Arabidopsis thaliana: one gene and its partners. The protein of the gene in region 2 interacts with the protein of the main gene of each other region in a pairwise test. Each region holds a gene or a part of one and is shown on either strand. Other genes may lie near its edges.

The links. The genes of interacting proteins can lie anywhere in the genome.
Region 1: the proteins of CRK40 (region 2) and MYB33 interact in a protein complementation assay, tested with the Arabidopsis thaliana proteins (one large-scale study listed by BioGRID).
Region 3: the proteins of CRK40 (region 2) and AT1G03730 interact in a protein complementation assay, tested with the Arabidopsis thaliana proteins (one large-scale study listed by BioGRID).

What each region holds. Positions count from the first base shown.
Region 1 is NC_003076.8:1,835,619-1,842,078, forward strand, and holds MYB33 (myb domain protein 33), read left to right. Parts: upstream 1-2,216; 5' UTR 2,217-2,411; exon of another isoform or gene 2,412-2,748; 5' UTR 2,749-2,803; exon of another isoform or gene 2,804-2,884; 5' UTR 2,885-2,936; coding exon 2,937-3,281; intron 3,282-3,368; coding exon 3,369-4,335; coding exon of another isoform or gene 4,336-4,379; exon of another isoform or gene 4,380-4,517; coding exon 4,518-4,768; 3' UTR 4,769-5,109; downstream 5,110-6,460. Other genes in the region: GPAT7 (glycerol-3-phosphate acyltransferase 7), read left to right, coding at 1-69, 184-1,104; AT5G06110 (DnaJ and myb-like DNA-binding domain-containing protein), read right to left, coding at 5,391-6,460. UniProt on the Arabidopsis thaliana protein: Transcriptional activator of alpha-amylase expression that binds to 5'-CAACTGTC-3' motif in target gene promoter. Positive regulator of abscisic acid (ABA) responses leading to growth arrest during seed germination.
Region 2 is NC_003075.7:2,288,008-2,294,198, forward strand, and holds CRK40 (cysteine-rich RLK (RECEPTOR-like protein kinase) 40), read left to right. Parts: upstream 1-1,894; 5' UTR 1,895-2,037; coding exon 2,038-2,878; intron 2,879-3,040; coding exon 3,041-3,157; intron 3,158-3,227; coding exon 3,228-3,361; intron 3,362-3,448; coding exon 3,449-3,659; intron 3,660-3,738; coding exon 3,739-3,976; intron 3,977-4,073; coding exon 4,074-4,212; coding exon of another isoform or gene 4,213-4,248; exon of another isoform or gene 4,249-4,425; coding exon 4,426-4,710; 3' UTR 4,711-4,943; downstream 4,944-6,191. Other genes in the region: AT4G04580 (Homeodomain-like superfamily protein), read right to left, coding at 5,754-5,855, 5,964-6,039, 6,133-6,191.
Region 3 is NC_003070.9:929,364-933,758, reverse strand, and holds AT1G03730 (pyrroline-5-carboxylate reductase), read left to right. Parts: upstream 1-1,773; 5' UTR 1,774-2,238; coding exon 2,239-2,742; 3' UTR 2,743-3,044; downstream 3,045-4,395.

The DNA.
Region 1 (6,460 bases), on a different chromosome or scaffold from region 2:
CGGAGACCTCAACTAGGTCTAGGACGACATATTATCTCGGATTCTCCAACTTTCCTATCTTTATGTGAGGTAAGTACTAAAGACAACATAACGTTAGGAATTCTTTTAGGTTGTTTTATAATTTATGAAAGCGTTACTATCATTTTTCTAATCTGAATGATTGCATATGTTATGTACATGTAGGAGCAAGTTCATGCACCAGTTCCATCGAACTACAACGGTCATAACCAGCGGCTACATGTGCAGCCGTTACCAGTTATCTTCCACGATGGACGACTTGTGAAGCTACCAACACCAGCCACCGCACTCATCATCCTTCTTTGGATCCCCTTTGGAATAATTCTAGCCATGATTCGGATATTCGTTGGGTTCTTACTTCCATTATGGGCCATACCTTACGTCTCACGGATATTCAACACTCGATTCATCGTAAAAGGAAAGCCTCCGGCACAAGCAACCACCGGAAACCCAGGCGTACTATTCGTATGCACTCATAGAACTCTAATGGATCCGGTCGTATTATCCTATGTGCTCGGACGTAGCATTCCAGCTGTTACCTACTCTATTTCTCGTTTATCCGAGATCCTATCTCCGATTCCAACCTTTAGGTTAACTAGAATTCGAGATGTAGATGCGGAGATGATCAAGAAAGAACTGTCTAATGGGGACTTAGTGGTATATCCCGAGGGAACCACTTGTCGCGAGCCGTTTTTGCTGAGATTTAGCGCGCTTTTCGCAGAATTAACCGACAATATTGTGCCCGTGGCAATGAACTACAGAGTTGGATTCTTTCATGCGACTACCGCTAGAGGCTGGAAAGGTTTGGACCCGATCTTCTTTTTCATGAACCCGAGACCGGTTTATGAGGTGACGTTCTTGAACCAGCTCGAGGTGGAGGCGACGTGTTCGTCAGGGAAGAGCCCTTATGACGTGGCTAACTATGTACAGAGAATCTTGGCAGCTACGTTAGGCTTTGAGTGTACTAACTTTACGAGGAAGGATAAGTATAGAGTTCTCGCAGGGAACGACGGAACCGTGTCGTATTTGTCGTTTCTCGATCAAGTCAAGAAGGTCGTCACCACTTTCAAACCTTTTTTGCATTAATTTACAAGTTATTTTGATAATTATATACTCTAAATTACGCGATCACTGATTGCTTAAGTTTTCATTTTTAAAGATTTTTTTGTTGAAAGTATATTATGACTACGGTTTTGTGTTTTTTTTTTCCTTACTTTATAAATTGTCGAATGTAATCGCAAGTATATTAACCTTTTTGTTAAAAGTTGAAATTAAATACATGACAACGTTTTTACATATCTTTCAAAAGAGAGCCCAATAGAATAATTTCCTTGGGACATTTTCGCTTTATGAAAATACGTTGACAAAATTGTCCAAATATTCTATATATCTAACTACTTGTTAGTTAAATTTGGTTATGTTTAATTTACATCACATCTTAAAAGAATGTATAGAATTGTTTTCAATCATACAAACTAAGGGTGAGAAAAATAATGGTTGGTAATGCACAGACGATTAATAGTTTGGTGGTGGTAGCTAAGAAATTGATTAAGGAAACTTGAGCTGCAAATATCATCTTATAACTTTTTTGATCAAATAATAGTTAATTGCGTATTTGGTTGGATGATGACAATCTCTTTGACCGCCAAATTTTTAGCTGCCGCCTTCCCGTTAGAGTTGGCCAACTTTTAGATTCGCCACATTAACAAAATAGTTAATAGTACATGCTTCAGAAAACAGTTAACATTATAAAATTTTCTAGATTAATTAGGTTAATAATACTAAAGAAAAATGTTTTATTTGTTTGTTTTATTCTTAAGAAGAAGAAACGTAATGGGCTTTAGTATCTCTAACTTGAATTCTGTTGTGGGCTTTTCTTTAGGATCAGAAGTAGGTTTCGTAAGCCTAGTGTTGTCCTTATACGGGAATATACATACGTATAAACATACGACACAACATGAAATGAGATAAAGAGAGTGACCAAAAAAGGCTGCAAAAAGGTGACCAATTCAACTCTATTTCTTTCTTACAAGTTACAACTCTTTCAAATCAATTATTCAATCTCACTCTTTTACTATCTGAATGCATTTCAGTTAATAAACCAAAAGGATTGTCTTCATAAGCTGCTTTTATTTTTGCTTAAGCTTTGATTTAGTAAAAACTCTGATTAATTTTTAGTAACATAATTACAATGCTAATAACAATAATAAAATAGTTAATTTTCACAAGTTATCGTATTATAATATATTTAAGAAAACGTTTTAGAAAAAGAAAAATGGGATAGAAAGTAGAAAAGAGTAAAAGGAAGAGAAAGAGCTAAGCTTCTCTCCCTCCTTCCATTTCCACTCGATGTTCAGCTGCCCAAGCTAAGCTCGGATCTCTATCCAGCTTTGGTATTTTCCTTAGCCTTGAGCTTCTCTCCGCGTAAATATAATTTTTTGTTTCTAGATTATCTTTCCGTTTCTATCTCGAATTGCTGCTTTTCATGGATCTATGATTGATTAGTCCTTAGGATCTTTAAAAACTTTCAATTTCAGCTTAGATTTCAAATCAGGTTTTCTGTTTTTTCATATTCATAATCTGATAGTATCTTCTTTGTGCGTTCTGATCTATTTCAGCTGATCTTTATCTGCGCTTTCGATTGATGTTTGCATCAGCTTTGTTGTTGATCTTCTTCGTAATAGACTACTAATCTTCTCAATCTAATTTTTATTCTCTGTTGGTTTTCAGGTATCCAGCGTCTGACAGTTCTGGATTTTGTTTTTTTTTTCTTTCCTTATTTAGGGTTTGTTTTCCTCTTTCGTCTCTTTTAATTCTTTATGACTATGAACTTTCTTTATTTCAAGCTGAAGTTTTTGGTGTTTAGGTGGGAGCTTGATGTCTAAATTGTTACTGTCAGTGGTTTAATTAGAAAAGAGATGAGTTACACGAGCACTGACAGTGACCATAATGAGTCACCAGCTGCTGATGATAATGGAAGTGACTGCAGAAGTAGATGGGATGGTCATGCTCTCAAGAAAGGCCCTTGGAGTTCAGCTGAAGATGATATTCTTATTGACTATGTGAATAAGCATGGTGAGGGTAACTGGAATGCTGTGCAGAAACACACCAGCTTGTTTCGTTGTGGTAAAAGCTGTCGTCTAAGATGGGCTAATCATCTGAGGCCAAATTTGAAGAAAGGAGCTTTTAGTCAAGAAGAAGAACAGCTTATCGTTGAATTGCATGCCAAGATGGGTAATAGATGGGCACGTATGGCTGCACATGTAAGTGTTTTGTTTCTGATAAGGATATGGTTCCTTTTGTAAAAGTGTGTTTCGAGACTAATTTCATAGAGTTTTTGTTTGCTCCAGTTGCCTGGCCGAACGGATAATGAGATAAAGAATTATTGGAACACTCGTATCAAGAGGCGACAACGAGCTGGTTTGCCACTTTATCCTCCTGAGATGCATGTTGAGGCACTTGAGTGGAGTCAAGAGTATGCCAAGAGTAGAGTTATGGGAGAAGATAGAAGACATCAAGATTTCTTGCAGCTGGGGAGTTGTGAATCTAATGTCTTCTTTGATACTCTTAATTTTACCGACATGGTACCTGGTACTTTTGATCTAGCAGATATGACTGCCTACAAAAATATGGGTAACTGTGCAAGTTCTCCTCGATATGAAAACTTCATGACACCAACAATCCCCTCCTCGAAGCGACTTTGGGAATCTGAGTTGTTGTATCCTGGGTGTAGCAGTACCATAAAGCAAGAATTCTCGTCGCCTGAACAATTCCGGAACACATCTCCACAAACGATTTCCAAAACTTGCAGCTTCTCAGTTCCTTGTGATGTTGAGCATCCTCTCTATGGAAACCGACATTCACCTGTTATGATTCCAGATAGCCATACCCCTACGGATGGCATTGTTCCTTATTCTAAGCCCTTATATGGGGCAGTGAAGCTGGAGCTCCCTTCATTCCAATATTCAGAAACAACATTTGACCAGTGGAAGAAATCGTCATCTCCTCCACACTCTGATCTCCTTGATCCCTTTGATACTTACATTCAGTCTCCACCACCACCAACGGGGGGAGAAGAGTCAGATTTATATTCAAATTTTGATACTGGTCTGCTCGATATGTTGCTTCTGGAAGCCAAGATCAGAAATAATAGTACAAAGAACAATTTGTACAGGAGCTGCGCTTCAACTATTCCATCAGCTGATCTTGGCCAGGTTACTGTATCCCAAACTAAATCCGAGGAGTTTGACAATTCCCTTAAGAGCTTCTTGGTTCATTCCGAAATGTCCACACAAAATGCAGATGAAACTCCACCAAGTGAGTTACTATTCACCTTACCATCACTTGAAATAGTTTGTTGAAGATTTCATCTTTTTCCCTAGAATTCTATTTGGTATCCTGATTTTACTTTTTGAGAATCATCACTTGCATTAATTTGTTTCTTATAGCCGAGATTTTGAGCTGATCAAGAACTCACCTAAACTTAAAAAATTATGCAGGGCAGAGAGAAAAAAAGCGGAAACCTCTCTTGGATATAACAAGGCCTGACGTTTTGCTTGCATCGAGCTGGCTTGACCATGGTTTAGGGATTGTGAAAGAGACAGGTAGCATGAGCGACGCACTCGCGGTTCTCCTTGGCGATGACATAGGAAATGACTATATGAATATGAGTGTTGGGGCATCCTCAGGAGTTGGGTCTTGTTCTTGGAGCAACATGCCACCTGTCTGTCAAATGACAGAACTACCCTAACGAGCCCGGGAAATCCTCCACTCCATTGGTGGTGTGGATTGGATTAGAGCCGTTCAGAATCTGTCAGTTCTCACTTCTCATGGTCATGGACTAGCAACTGCCAATGCAAGAACAATATCTTTTCTTTGAGCCTTTTGATCACAGCCGATACTTTGTTGGCTTCTGTACCAATAACCCATAATGACGATTCATCAGGAGGATGAAGTGGTTGATTTTGTAGAACTGGCTTCTTTAAGGACTATGGTATACATACAGACAGTTGATTTGATTCAATGTTAAACAGAGAATTGTTTCTTTTAATATATTTCTCTTTGGATTAAGTTTGATTTCGCTTTGGTTTATCAACGACTCCCTTCGGCTATTCGTTTGTAGACTAGATAGAAAAATGAAAACAAGATAACACCAGACGATCAAAAAATTAAATAAAGACAGAGAGCATAAATAAAATTAGAACAAAATAGATAAATAAGAATAGATTCGGTTGTCAAAAACTCTATGTAGAATAAGAGCAGCATGATGATGTATACGAATTACGAAAATATGAATTGTAGCAAAAATTGAGTCCACGCTCATCTCTGTCAAAACAAAATCTCAAAGCGTGCAGCTCGAGGAATCGGATAGGTTAGGCTGTGGGTTTCTTGGTTCTGATGACGTCCTTAAGATCAGCAAACTTCTTCTTGCATTGATTCATCGTTTTCCCTGGAACAGCTGTTGCTACTCTCTCCCATCTTTGGTTTGTCTCCTTTGGGAACGTCTTCAAAGCCTGTACCAGAGCTCTTTCTTGCACAGCAGACCAACCGTCTGGGTCTGAACCAGATGCTGCTGCTGGTTCAGAGTTGCCGTTACTGTTGTTGTTCTCTTTGGTCTTACCGTTCTGTTCTGCGGTCTCTGTTTTGGTTGAGTTGTTGTCTTCATGAGCTTTGGTCGGTATAATTGGTTCTCCGAGTTCCTCTCGTGTAGAGAGAGGAGAGTTGATTGAAGCGGCAGGTTTCCTATTCTCCAGAAAAGAGTCAAAAGCTTTAGCTGAGTCGGGTTTCTGGAGAAGTACTGTTTTAGTAGCCTTGAGAATTTCCTCCACAGATCTTCCTGTACCAATGTACTCTGATATGACTTCCCATCTCTGAGATGTTCCTTTTGGGAACTTGGTTGTTCCTTTTCTCAGCATGTCAATCTCTTCCTTGCTCCAAGGTTTCTCTTTCTTCTCATGAGTAGCAGTATCCACTTTGGCTTCTACATGACCATTGGCTTCTACATGACCATTGGCTTCTATATGACCATTCTGCTTAACAGCTACTTGAACTTCTTCTTCTTCAATCTCTATTTTATCATCATCAATGTTGCTCCCATTCTTGATCACCTTTGCCAAAGCCATCCCTTCCTTGTTTTCCATCTTGTCACACAGTTTCCGCAACTGCTCGGTGTTAAGTGACATGCATAGATCTTCCACATGTTCATCAGATATGCCAAGCAGACGCTGGGACAGAACAGGGGCGGAGAGAACTCTGAGCCGACTTCGTTCTTTGCGCAGAAGCTTCTTCTCTCTTTCCTTGGCTCTCTTGTGCAGCTGAGCAGCCTCTGCCGCACGTTTTGCTTCTTCTTCTTTTCGCCTTTTCTCTTCTTCAATAGCTGCAGCAGCAGCTTCTTCCTGCTGCCTCTTGGCCATAACTTTTGCTTCTTTCTTCTGCAGCTTCT
Region 2 (6,191 bases):
TCACTTTCTTTCATCTTCAAATTCTCATACTCCCTTCTAAGAGATTGAAGCTTTATCATCCTGACTTGTGGTGATCCTTGAAATTCCAATACCAAGGCTTTCCAAGTGCGCTTGATGCAGGGGCGATTCTCGGAAATATGGAATCTGAGACGGCAGTTTGAAGAATTTGCAAAGCGGTTAGATCCTTTAAGGATGCTGCTTCACATCGTGTCTTTTGTTGCACTGCTTCAGGGCTATGATCTCCTTCTGCGGGTGGTTTTGGAACTCCTTCGTCAACAATTTCCCACAGTTTCTTTGTCTGGAAAATTGTTTTCATCTTGATGCGCCAAAAACCATAATTCTCTTTGTTGAAGATTGGAGTCACAATGTGTGACACCATCTCCATAACTCTCTCGTGTTTATTAAACTCTTTACTTGAAATGTTTGGCCCTTGAATCAGTAGGGCTCTGATACCATGTTGGAAATTGAAGCCTCTTGTTACAAAGAAAAAACAAGTGTTTACTTGTTGTTCTGTTTCTTATGAGATACACAAAGCAAAAGAGAAACTGACTTTTATTGAATGGAGAACTTGTTCGTTTCATCACGATACAAAAAGTTTAAATAGAAAACAAATAGACACAATAAGTAAAGAGTTGTGTCTCTTTCTCTCTAAGATAAACGACACAACCTAATCTAAAAGTCACGACTCTAACAAACACCTTTTAATACAACATAATTATAACTTATAGACCAAACTCAATTATAAACTAACAGATTTGATGCAGCTTCCTAATTTCCAACAGCTCCATGATGTTTATCAGCTCGTTGTTGTCAGAATCTGCATCTTCATAAATTTATAATAAATATAAATATATAATGTATAACTGTATGTAGAACCGTATATTGTGGATCCGTGAATTGGTGGAAGAGTTGCTATTGCGGAATCGTCCAAGAAGCTATTCATAAAATCAATCACGAAAGAAAAAGAATTTGTTTTGCTATTATCTCTATATTGTGGGTAGCCATTTTTGGAATCTTTGAAAAATCAACCAATACGCATTTTCTCTCAGTTTGGAAGTTAACAAAGACGCGTTTTTTCAAGGTTTTGTGGGGACTGGGGACCAAAAGTTCTTAATATGGGTTAACGTCTCACAGGTAATACCAAACATTTCATTTATTTGTGTTTTTCTATCACTATCTTTTCCACATTTTAGTATTTTACTATTACATATAATTTTTGACTAAGAAGTTGATTGTGAATGAGTCTGTACATCTTCCTAGAAATGATTATAAGTATATTATTTAATTTGTTACTCCCTCTATTGTCATTTATTTGTAGTTTAAGTTTCAAGGTTTTGGCACAAATGAAATTATTTCGTTTTTTATTATTATCTTTTAATATAGTTAATTATCTATTTAAAAACAATTCAACAAATTGAAAAAAAAGTTTTGTAGAATTTCTAAGAGTCAAAAATAATAAAATTTCCATTAAAAATTGAAAACAACAAATAAAATGAAACTATTTGTTTTTGCTTAAACAACACTTCTTAAAAAACAGAGGAACCATTGTAAAATAGATTTTTCCCAACACAAATCGAAAACGTAACTTATATAATCTCTATATTTTTAGTAATTCAGCGACTTATCATTTCATTGTTAACTATTTTTCACTGACATGTTTCTCGTTATATAAAAGTCTCTGTTTATGTCAATGGTCGTATGTGAATGGTTCATGTATTATGCAAAACTGTTTATGATAATATTGCCGGGGAAAAAAAACTGCCATGTTTCATTTTTTTACTAGTTATTACATTTGATTATTATCAACCAACTTACCATTGAAAGATAACTTGTGATTATTATTTACAGTAACGAAGAAAATTAGGCCATATTTTGTTTTCTTTTTGGAACCTTTCAAATGTCAAAGCTGGTAGGCTATATAAATATAAACAAAGCTCAAAAATTTATTACTATACTTAACAGTAACGAAGTAGACTACTTCAAGTAGTACATCAAAAAAAAAAAAACCAAAGAAGTTGTTATCTTTAACAAACAAAAATGGGAAAATGCTCTGCTTTGATGATATTCCTCTCTTCTTCTCTTCTACTTGTCCTTCAAACACTCCATGTTGTTAACGCGGTCAAATGTTTCGGAAACTCCTTCAACGGTAACAGCAGCACCTTCGCTCAGAATCGCCAGAAACTGTTCCCTACTCTTGCTGACAAAGTCATCATCAACGACGGATTCTACAACGCTTCACTCGGCCAAGATCCCGACAAAGTTTACGCTCTTGTCAGCTGCGCAAGAGGCTACGACCAAGACGCTTGTTACAATTGTGTCCAATCATTGACTCAGAACACACTAACAGATTGTCGAAGCCGTAGGGATTCGTTCATATGGGGAGGCAATGACGATGTAACTTGTCTTGTACGTTCCTCAAACCAGTCTACTTTTGGGAGCGTCCAGCTTAAACCTCCTGTTGTATGGCCAAGTCCAGATACTATAGAGTCATCTAAAAACATAACCCTTTTCAAACAACAGTGGGAAGAAATGGTTAATCGGACCCTAGAGGCTGCCACGAAAGCTGAAGGTTCCTCGGTGCTTAAGTACTATAAGGCCGAAAAAGCGGGTTTCACCGAGTTTCCAGATGTTTACATGCTGATGCAATGCACACCCGACTTAAGTTCACGAGATTGCAAGCAATGTTTGGGAGATTGCGTGATGTACTTTAGAAAAGACTATATGGGAAGAAAAGGAGGCATGGCTAGTCTTCCAAGCTGTTATTTCAGGTGGGATCTATATTCTTTCCATAATGCTTTTGATAATGTAACAAGAGTTCCTGCGCCTCCTCCTCGACCTCATGCTCAGGAAAAGGAGAGCTGCATAACAGTAAAAAAAGGTAACACAAATTATTTTAGCTTTCATTTAGAGCTCAAAAGAGCCAATTTTGAGGAATATTGTTTACATAAGTGACATGAAGCGGTTTGGTATGAACTTTTCGTGCCAAATTGTTATTATGATTAAGAGGTTAATTCTTAGACAAAGGGTTGGTAATTTGCAGGGAAAAGCATTGGGTATGGCGGAATTATCGCAATAGTTGTGGTGTTTACTTTCATTAATCTTTTGGTGTTTATTGGCTTTATCAAAGTCTATGCACGGAGGGGAAAATTAAATAATGGTAAGTGTAACTTGCTTCAATCAAGCTTATGATGTAGAGAGTAAGGCTTATGGATTTTTTGTTTTTTTAGTTGGTAGTGCAGAATACTCTGATTCTGATGGTCAATTCATGTTACGGTTTGATCTTGGTATGATCGTAATGGCAACTGATGACTTCTCCTCTGAAAATACGCTTGGCCAAGGTGGATTTGGTACGGTTTATAAGGTAATAATAAACTTTTTCCTTAATGATGAGTTCTTGATCAACATTGGTCTTTTATGAGTAAATAGATATCTTGAGAATGGGTTTCAGGGGACATTCCCAAACGGGCAAGAGGTAGCGGTCAAGAGACTAACAAAAGGATCAGGACAAGGAGATATGGAGTTTAAGAATGAGGTTTCACTCTTGACAAGACTCCAACATAAGAATCTTGTTAAGCTTCTTGGGTTCTGTAATGAGGGAGATGAAGAGATTCTTGTCTACGAGTTTGTCCCCAACTCAAGTCTTGATCACTTTATCTTTGGTGAGCCTTCGAAAGACAGCTGCCAAGTTGGATAGATTTAGAACTTTTAGCAAACTAAATGTTTCTTTGAACTCTGCAGATGAAGATAAGCGTTCTCTTCTTACATGGGAGGTGAGGTTCAGAATTATAGAAGGCATTGCTCGAGGTCTTCTCTATCTCCATGAAGATTCTCAGCTGAAGATTATTCACAGAGACTTGAAGGCAAGCAACATACTTTTAGACGCTGAGATGAACCCTAAAGTTGCGGATTTCGGGACTGCGAGGTTGTTCGACTCCGACGAGACTCGAGCTGAAACAAAAAGAATAGCTGGAACCCGGTAAGAAATATATCAATCAAATTTGATGACACATTTCAAATGCTCTGTTTTGAAAACAGAGTCCATGAATTAATGCTATTGGTTTGCATATATGCAGTGGATATATGGCTCCTGAGTACTTGAATCATGGACAAATCTCAGCTAAATCTGACGTTTATAGCTTCGGTGTTATGCTTCTAGAGATGATTAGTGGTGAAAGAAACAATAGCTTCGAAGGAGAAGGACTTGCAGCTTTTGTAAGCTTCTTCACAATTTTTTTTTTTTTTGAATAGCTGGAGGTTTTGGGCCGAAGCCCGTAATCCCCCCAGGACCGAAACCACAGCATGTAATATTAGTTTCGTTCCAAGCGTTACTCGAACCGGCGACCTTAAGCTTCTTCACATATCAGTTTTTGTTTTTCTATCTTCAAAACTTTATCCCGAAAGTAAGAACTTATGTTTTTGGTGTAGGCATGGAAAAGATGGGTTGAAGGAAAGCCTGAGATTATAATTGATCCGTTCTTAATAGAGAATCCAAGAAATGAGATCATCAAGTTGATCCAAATTGGTTTGTTGTGTGTTCAAGAGAATTCAACAAAGAGACCAACCATGAGCTCTGTAATAATTTGGCTTGGCAGTGAGACTATCATCATTCCTTTACCTAAAGCTCCTGCTTTCACTTGGATTCGATCCCAATCTGAAAGTGGTGCAATGTCATTGAGCGACGATGTCTTCACGGAGTTGAGTTGTCGTTGAGATATACATCAGTTAATCAAAATATTTGAATATTTTTTAATATCAAACTCCATTAATCTGCAAATTTGTTAGTAAATCGCATAATCTTGGATTCGAACTTTAGACTTCTTTGGTGTAAAGGCTTTATTAACTCTTGATTAACCTTTGGGCCAAGAGGGTTTTCGCGTCCAGTTTTGTTTTAAAACTATTTTCACCAATATTAATTAATATTATAGAGGTAAGAAATAAATAAACTTAAAATGTTGCACATATAAATATGATTTAATAATAACTGAAATATCTTATAAATCTCAATTAGGAGAAGATAATAAATCTTTTCTTAACAATCAGATAAAATATCAGTTCTTAATTTCAGTTACTTTATTCTGATATATCTTACTCTAAATAGAATTATAAAGAAGTTTTTTTCTTTCTTTTTGTTAAAACAAATATTATAATATAACAATTGTTTTTAAGTATTTTCACATTAATTCCCAAAACAAAATATATCACGTACCTAATATAGTTCTCCCTAATATATTTCTTCTAAATGACCAATAAATTTCAAAGTTGATTTTAATTTTACATGACCAATAGAGTGAGGATAAAAAATCTTTTCTGACCAATCAAATTCCTGATTTTAGCCACTCTACTTGATTCTTATCTTAGTATGAACATATATATAAGGAAGTTTTTTTTTTGTTGTTGAAAATATAATATAAGGAATTTTCCTTGATATTTTCAGAATTCCCAAATAAGAGTATATCTATGTACCTAATATAGTTCTTTCTAATATATTTTTCTAAATATATACCTAAACAAAATCTAGTGCAGCCGAATATTGTCAAAGACTCAAAGTTGCTTTCAATTTTGTAATAGAAATATTTTATATAAATAATATTTCCCCCAAATAGCATGGATGCAAAATCACATAATAGCATTATAAATAGAATACCATAAAATATTGTTCAGTTTTTATTTTTCTTATCCCATTATATATATGAGATAAGCATTACATAAAATAGAGAGCAAGCATAAAAAAAAAGATAGAAACCAAACTCCTCTTAGTACTTGCGACCAAGAGTGAGTTCAAGGGACAATTCTTCTTCACCAGTTGCACCACCAACAACAACAACATCATTGCCTCTGTTTTCATTTAGTCCAACCTGCCATAAAATATACATTAATCTAGTTTCATAGGCATCAAATCAACATGTTGATAATCATGCATGATATTTAGTAATATAAAAATTACAAAAGGAAAAAAAAATTACCTTTGAAGATTGATCTAGAGACTTGTTACTTGATCCCAAAACTGGGGTTATCTTCTCAGTATTATCCAGTTGTAGCCTAGAAGAAATTGAAAAAGAAGATTGTTTTACTCACGAAACCAAAAAACGATTAATTATATGAAAAACTAAGTTGATACATGAACATAAGAACCTTTGTTGATTTTGGATAAATTGGGTAGCACGTTCATAGATTTGAAGATATTGCTGAGA
Region 3 (4,395 bases), on a different chromosome or scaffold from region 2:
AAGGAATGGAGAGAAATTGATGAAGATTGACTTTAGGCAAAGCGTTGAATAGAATCAAAGAGGGTTGCGGAGAGAATATGTAAGGAAAGGGGAGATTTTTATTTGTTAGTTGTAGCAGATTTGACTAATTAAACGATTACGTAGAGTGAGTCACTATCATCGATCGATGTATGAACGGATTCATAAAAAAAATAGCTAAATGTCAATAACCAACTTAGCCGCCTTTCGTCGACCAAAGTTAGATTTTTCTCCACATCTCTCTCTCTCAGTCTCTCTATGGCTCTATCTCATCATCATTCATGGAATTCTCTTTCATTTATTTTTATTTTTTAAAATGTTCAGATTTTATTAAATGTAAGTTTGATTGGTATCATCATTCAGCCTATTCAAATAATTGTATCAAGACTTGTTTTAGTCAACATTTTTTTTTTGTCAACCTTTTAAATGGTAGATAAAATTGGTTGAAAATTTTAAAATAAACTTAGAGCATTATTATAGTCTTTCAATCTATTTGATCATCGCTCTTACAAGACTAATTGTATTGACTTTTTATTTCGTTTGAAATTATTCTAATTGTTTAGTTTTTTTTTTTTTTTTTAATTGTTTAGTTTTCGTGTATGAAGTTCTTATAATTTAACATGTGGACTAAAACAGTGAAGACAAAAATATAAGAAATTAATCACGAGTATAAAGAAGTTCAGAATTGTGATAGGAAGATGTTGTTTGACTCAAATAATTTGCCAAATACATGTGCACACGCGTGTGTTTGTAAATAACTAAAATAGAATAATTTATGAAATACTTTAATTTACTTGGCTCACACGACAGCCCGATGTCTTTAGAACTAATTCATTTACTTATTTTAAAAAAAAATCAAAGTGTATTAAATATAGAGATCGTCAATAGGATGCCGACACCTTCATCGGCATGCGGACCATGCGGTGTTGCCAATTTGCCATCGCGACCGTGTTGTATGGCAAAATTGGACTCCGTTTCCGGTCATGGGATTATGAACTAGAAGATTCTTTGAAGTGTACATCAATAGAAGACTACAAAACTGGAAGATTATTTGTTTAATGTTCTTACAAATTAATTCTCAAAGTCGTGTCAACTTCCATATTAGAAAAGCGTTTGACACATAACAAAGTCGTTGCAATCGTTCGTACGTGAAATTGTTACAAATGTCAAGGGACGTTAAATTGTTTCATATGCCAAGTAAATCTTAGTATTCCAAATGTCCAATTACTTGGAAGATGGTTTACCATACAATACCACATCCATATCCAATTTTAAAAATGTTTGATTGTAGATTCTCAACTTATATGATTAGTGTTCCATATATTGTAGATAAATGCTTAATCTCATTTGATGACTAGACGGAAGAATATTAAAATCCATATTCAAGAGAAAAAGCTAAGACTTCCATAAGAAAAAGACAATCGCATGCATTCAAGAATTTGCTAGCGGTGAACGTCAAGAAGTTTCGTTCCTTTAGAGTCTTCTTCATAAAAGATAGACAAAACAAAACAAAACAAAAAAGGTAAAATGTCATTAAAGGTTAGAATAAATAGACGATTCTTTTATTTTAGTTTGTCGGCTATAATAAGCGTAGAGGCGCACTATCAAGCCAAATCGCATTAAAAAAAAGAAAAGGAAAGACAAATCGCATTTGTTTGTTTGTCCCTAACTTGCTATACGACTAAACTAAAAAAAAAAAAGAAGATAATGCATTACGTCTCAAACAGATTTGTTGAAGTAAAAAATGGTATAAACAGAAATCGCGTTTCGTCATTAGTATTTAATTTCATAATTCCGAGAGGAGAAAGAAATAAACGAAGAAAAGAGTAATTAAGTGATATTAATGGAAATAATAATATTTTTGATCAGAGTGAGTTCACGCAGTTTCCATGTATATTCATTTGTTCCTAATTTCCATGTCTGGTCTCTTTTGGGGGAAATCAATAAATAAAACGAAACTTAAGCGCGTGTACTCCACTACAAGCCTCTAAACCAACGAGTGATTAACACGCGCTTTAACATGAGAGTGGGACTCACGTGAACTAATCTATTTTCCCCAAATCTGAAGACTTTCACTTTTTTTTTTGTGCTCTCTCTCTTCTTCTTCTTCTTCTTCTTCTTCTTCTAGTTCTTCAGCACAAATCTCAAATCACGGAGATTTCAATTTCCAACACAAAGAAAGAAAAAATCCCTCAATAAAAAATCTCAATCAGATCGCCGATGATGGATCCAACAGGATCGCCAAGAACATCGAATGGCTCTCCTCCAAGATCGTACCTTATCTTTATGCGAATCATGAGCAAGAGACGGACATGGGTTTGTCTCTTTGTAGCTGTCTACGCGATTCTCCTGGCTTCCTCATGGAACTTTCTCACATCTGTGCTTAGCTGGTACAAGCTCCAGTACACGTCATCGCCGTCTCCGTCAAGATTACCGGCGGTTTACGCGTCTGTGGTGTTAGGAGCTGTGTTTGGAGCCATGTCGATGGTTGCGGCGGCTGCGGTTGCGGTTCCGGCGGTTATGGTGATCTGGATATCGGTGGTTGTGTTGCTTGCGTTTTTTGGGAAATCGAGAAGGGTATTGGTTGTTGAAGCTCGTAAGATTACAAGAGAAGTGTTTGGATTTGTGTTTAAGGTTCTTTTGAAAGAAGGCAATGCTGTTGCTGCGGTTTGTGCTGTTTTGGGTTATTTCATTCTTATTAGAAAGGATTTTGATTCGATTTAGGGTTTTTGATTTTGGGAAATTTTCTTCTCTTTTTTTATTATTATTGGATTAGGTGGGTTTTTCTTTCTTTCCTGGAAATTTGACTATTATATTGAAGAAACTCTTGTCTTTTGCTTCTTGTTTAACTTGTTGCTAATGTAGCAATGTATATGTACATTTTATAAACGGAGATGTTCTTGAATCACTATCATTATTATTTCTTGAAAGCGTGTCAAATTATTACATTTTGGCGAATGTTAGCTATCCATTGTTGGTTGGGTTCAAGGTACTTCTTTTTGGTAAACCATAGCAGAAATATAACCTGTACCAACAAAATATCCTAGCAATAAAAAAATAATATATATATATATATATCCTACCTAGCAACAAAACTGAACAAAGTATCCAACTACTAATTCATGCATTTCTCATTTTTTTTTTTTTTTTGGGGACGCTTCCATGATAGTATTAAAATTTGGTATATTCATTATTTTTATTAATCAATTTGTTCATTTTCCTAAAATTACTTATCTTTTTGCTTATAATTTACCCTCTCTTTTTTTGTGTCTAGTTGATTACTTACTTTTTACTTCTTCTCAAATGATGACCTGAATTTTTCTCGTAAGTTCATTATTAACTAAGTTTTAGTAAGCAGACCATGTAGAGTGTTCTAAAGATTACTACAAGTGATTATGTCTTGGAATTTAGGCCCATCTCCCATACGCCATACATTAGACAATTTAAACGTAGTTAATAATGGATAAGCTATGATTTAGTGAAATACTTTCTATTGCAAAACCAAGCTGTGAATATCATTTCTTGGGACGAGTGAAGGGAGAACTGAGAACGATTAAATCCAAGCCAAAATTGTATTAGTTATCCAACCCGAATAATAAAAATAGGGAAATCAATATTCTTATTGTATTAGTAAAAATGAACAGTGTAATTAAGCATAACCCCCAGAAATAACAGATAAATAAAAAATAAATTATTATTATTAAACTCAAAACTATGGTCTCGGTCTCTCGGACATATCAATTATTAAACAAAAATTAGGTGTTTTTGGGCTTTGTGGCCCATGTGTGTTCACGAGCCTCTCTTATCTGGGCCTGGTTTCCCCTTGTGGGCGTTTCCTCTGTTCATCATGTAATGGGTATGGTCCAATTTATATGTTTTCGTATGCTCCTAAAAAAATGAAAACCTTTTAATAAAAATAATAATAAACAACAATATGTTTACATATTTCTTAACTTGAACAGTAATCCTTACCCTTACCTTATAGTGCCTAAACTTTCAGTTGATTTACAGACTATTCGTTAACTAGTATTTTGGCAATGAGAGCAGAATTCTCCAAATTTGAGTTTGCAATTTGTTATAAAAATAATTGATTTTGTTGATGTTTAGTAATATTTTTTTTCTTTTCAATGTAATGTTTAGTAATTTCTCTATGTGTGAGAGAGTGAGATTGGCCAAAAAAGGAGGGAAAACAAAAACTTTGAGATTTGGCACGAAAACCAATTATGATAACAAAAGTCCATCTGTACGGAAAAGATTGAAAAAGTGGAGCTGGTTTCAAAACTCAAATTTGTTGGAACAATAAATTAGTAGTCGTGTAAATTTACAAAAACTTTTGTATATTCGTAGTCAGTTTTAAGAGAGATCTAAACCAATACT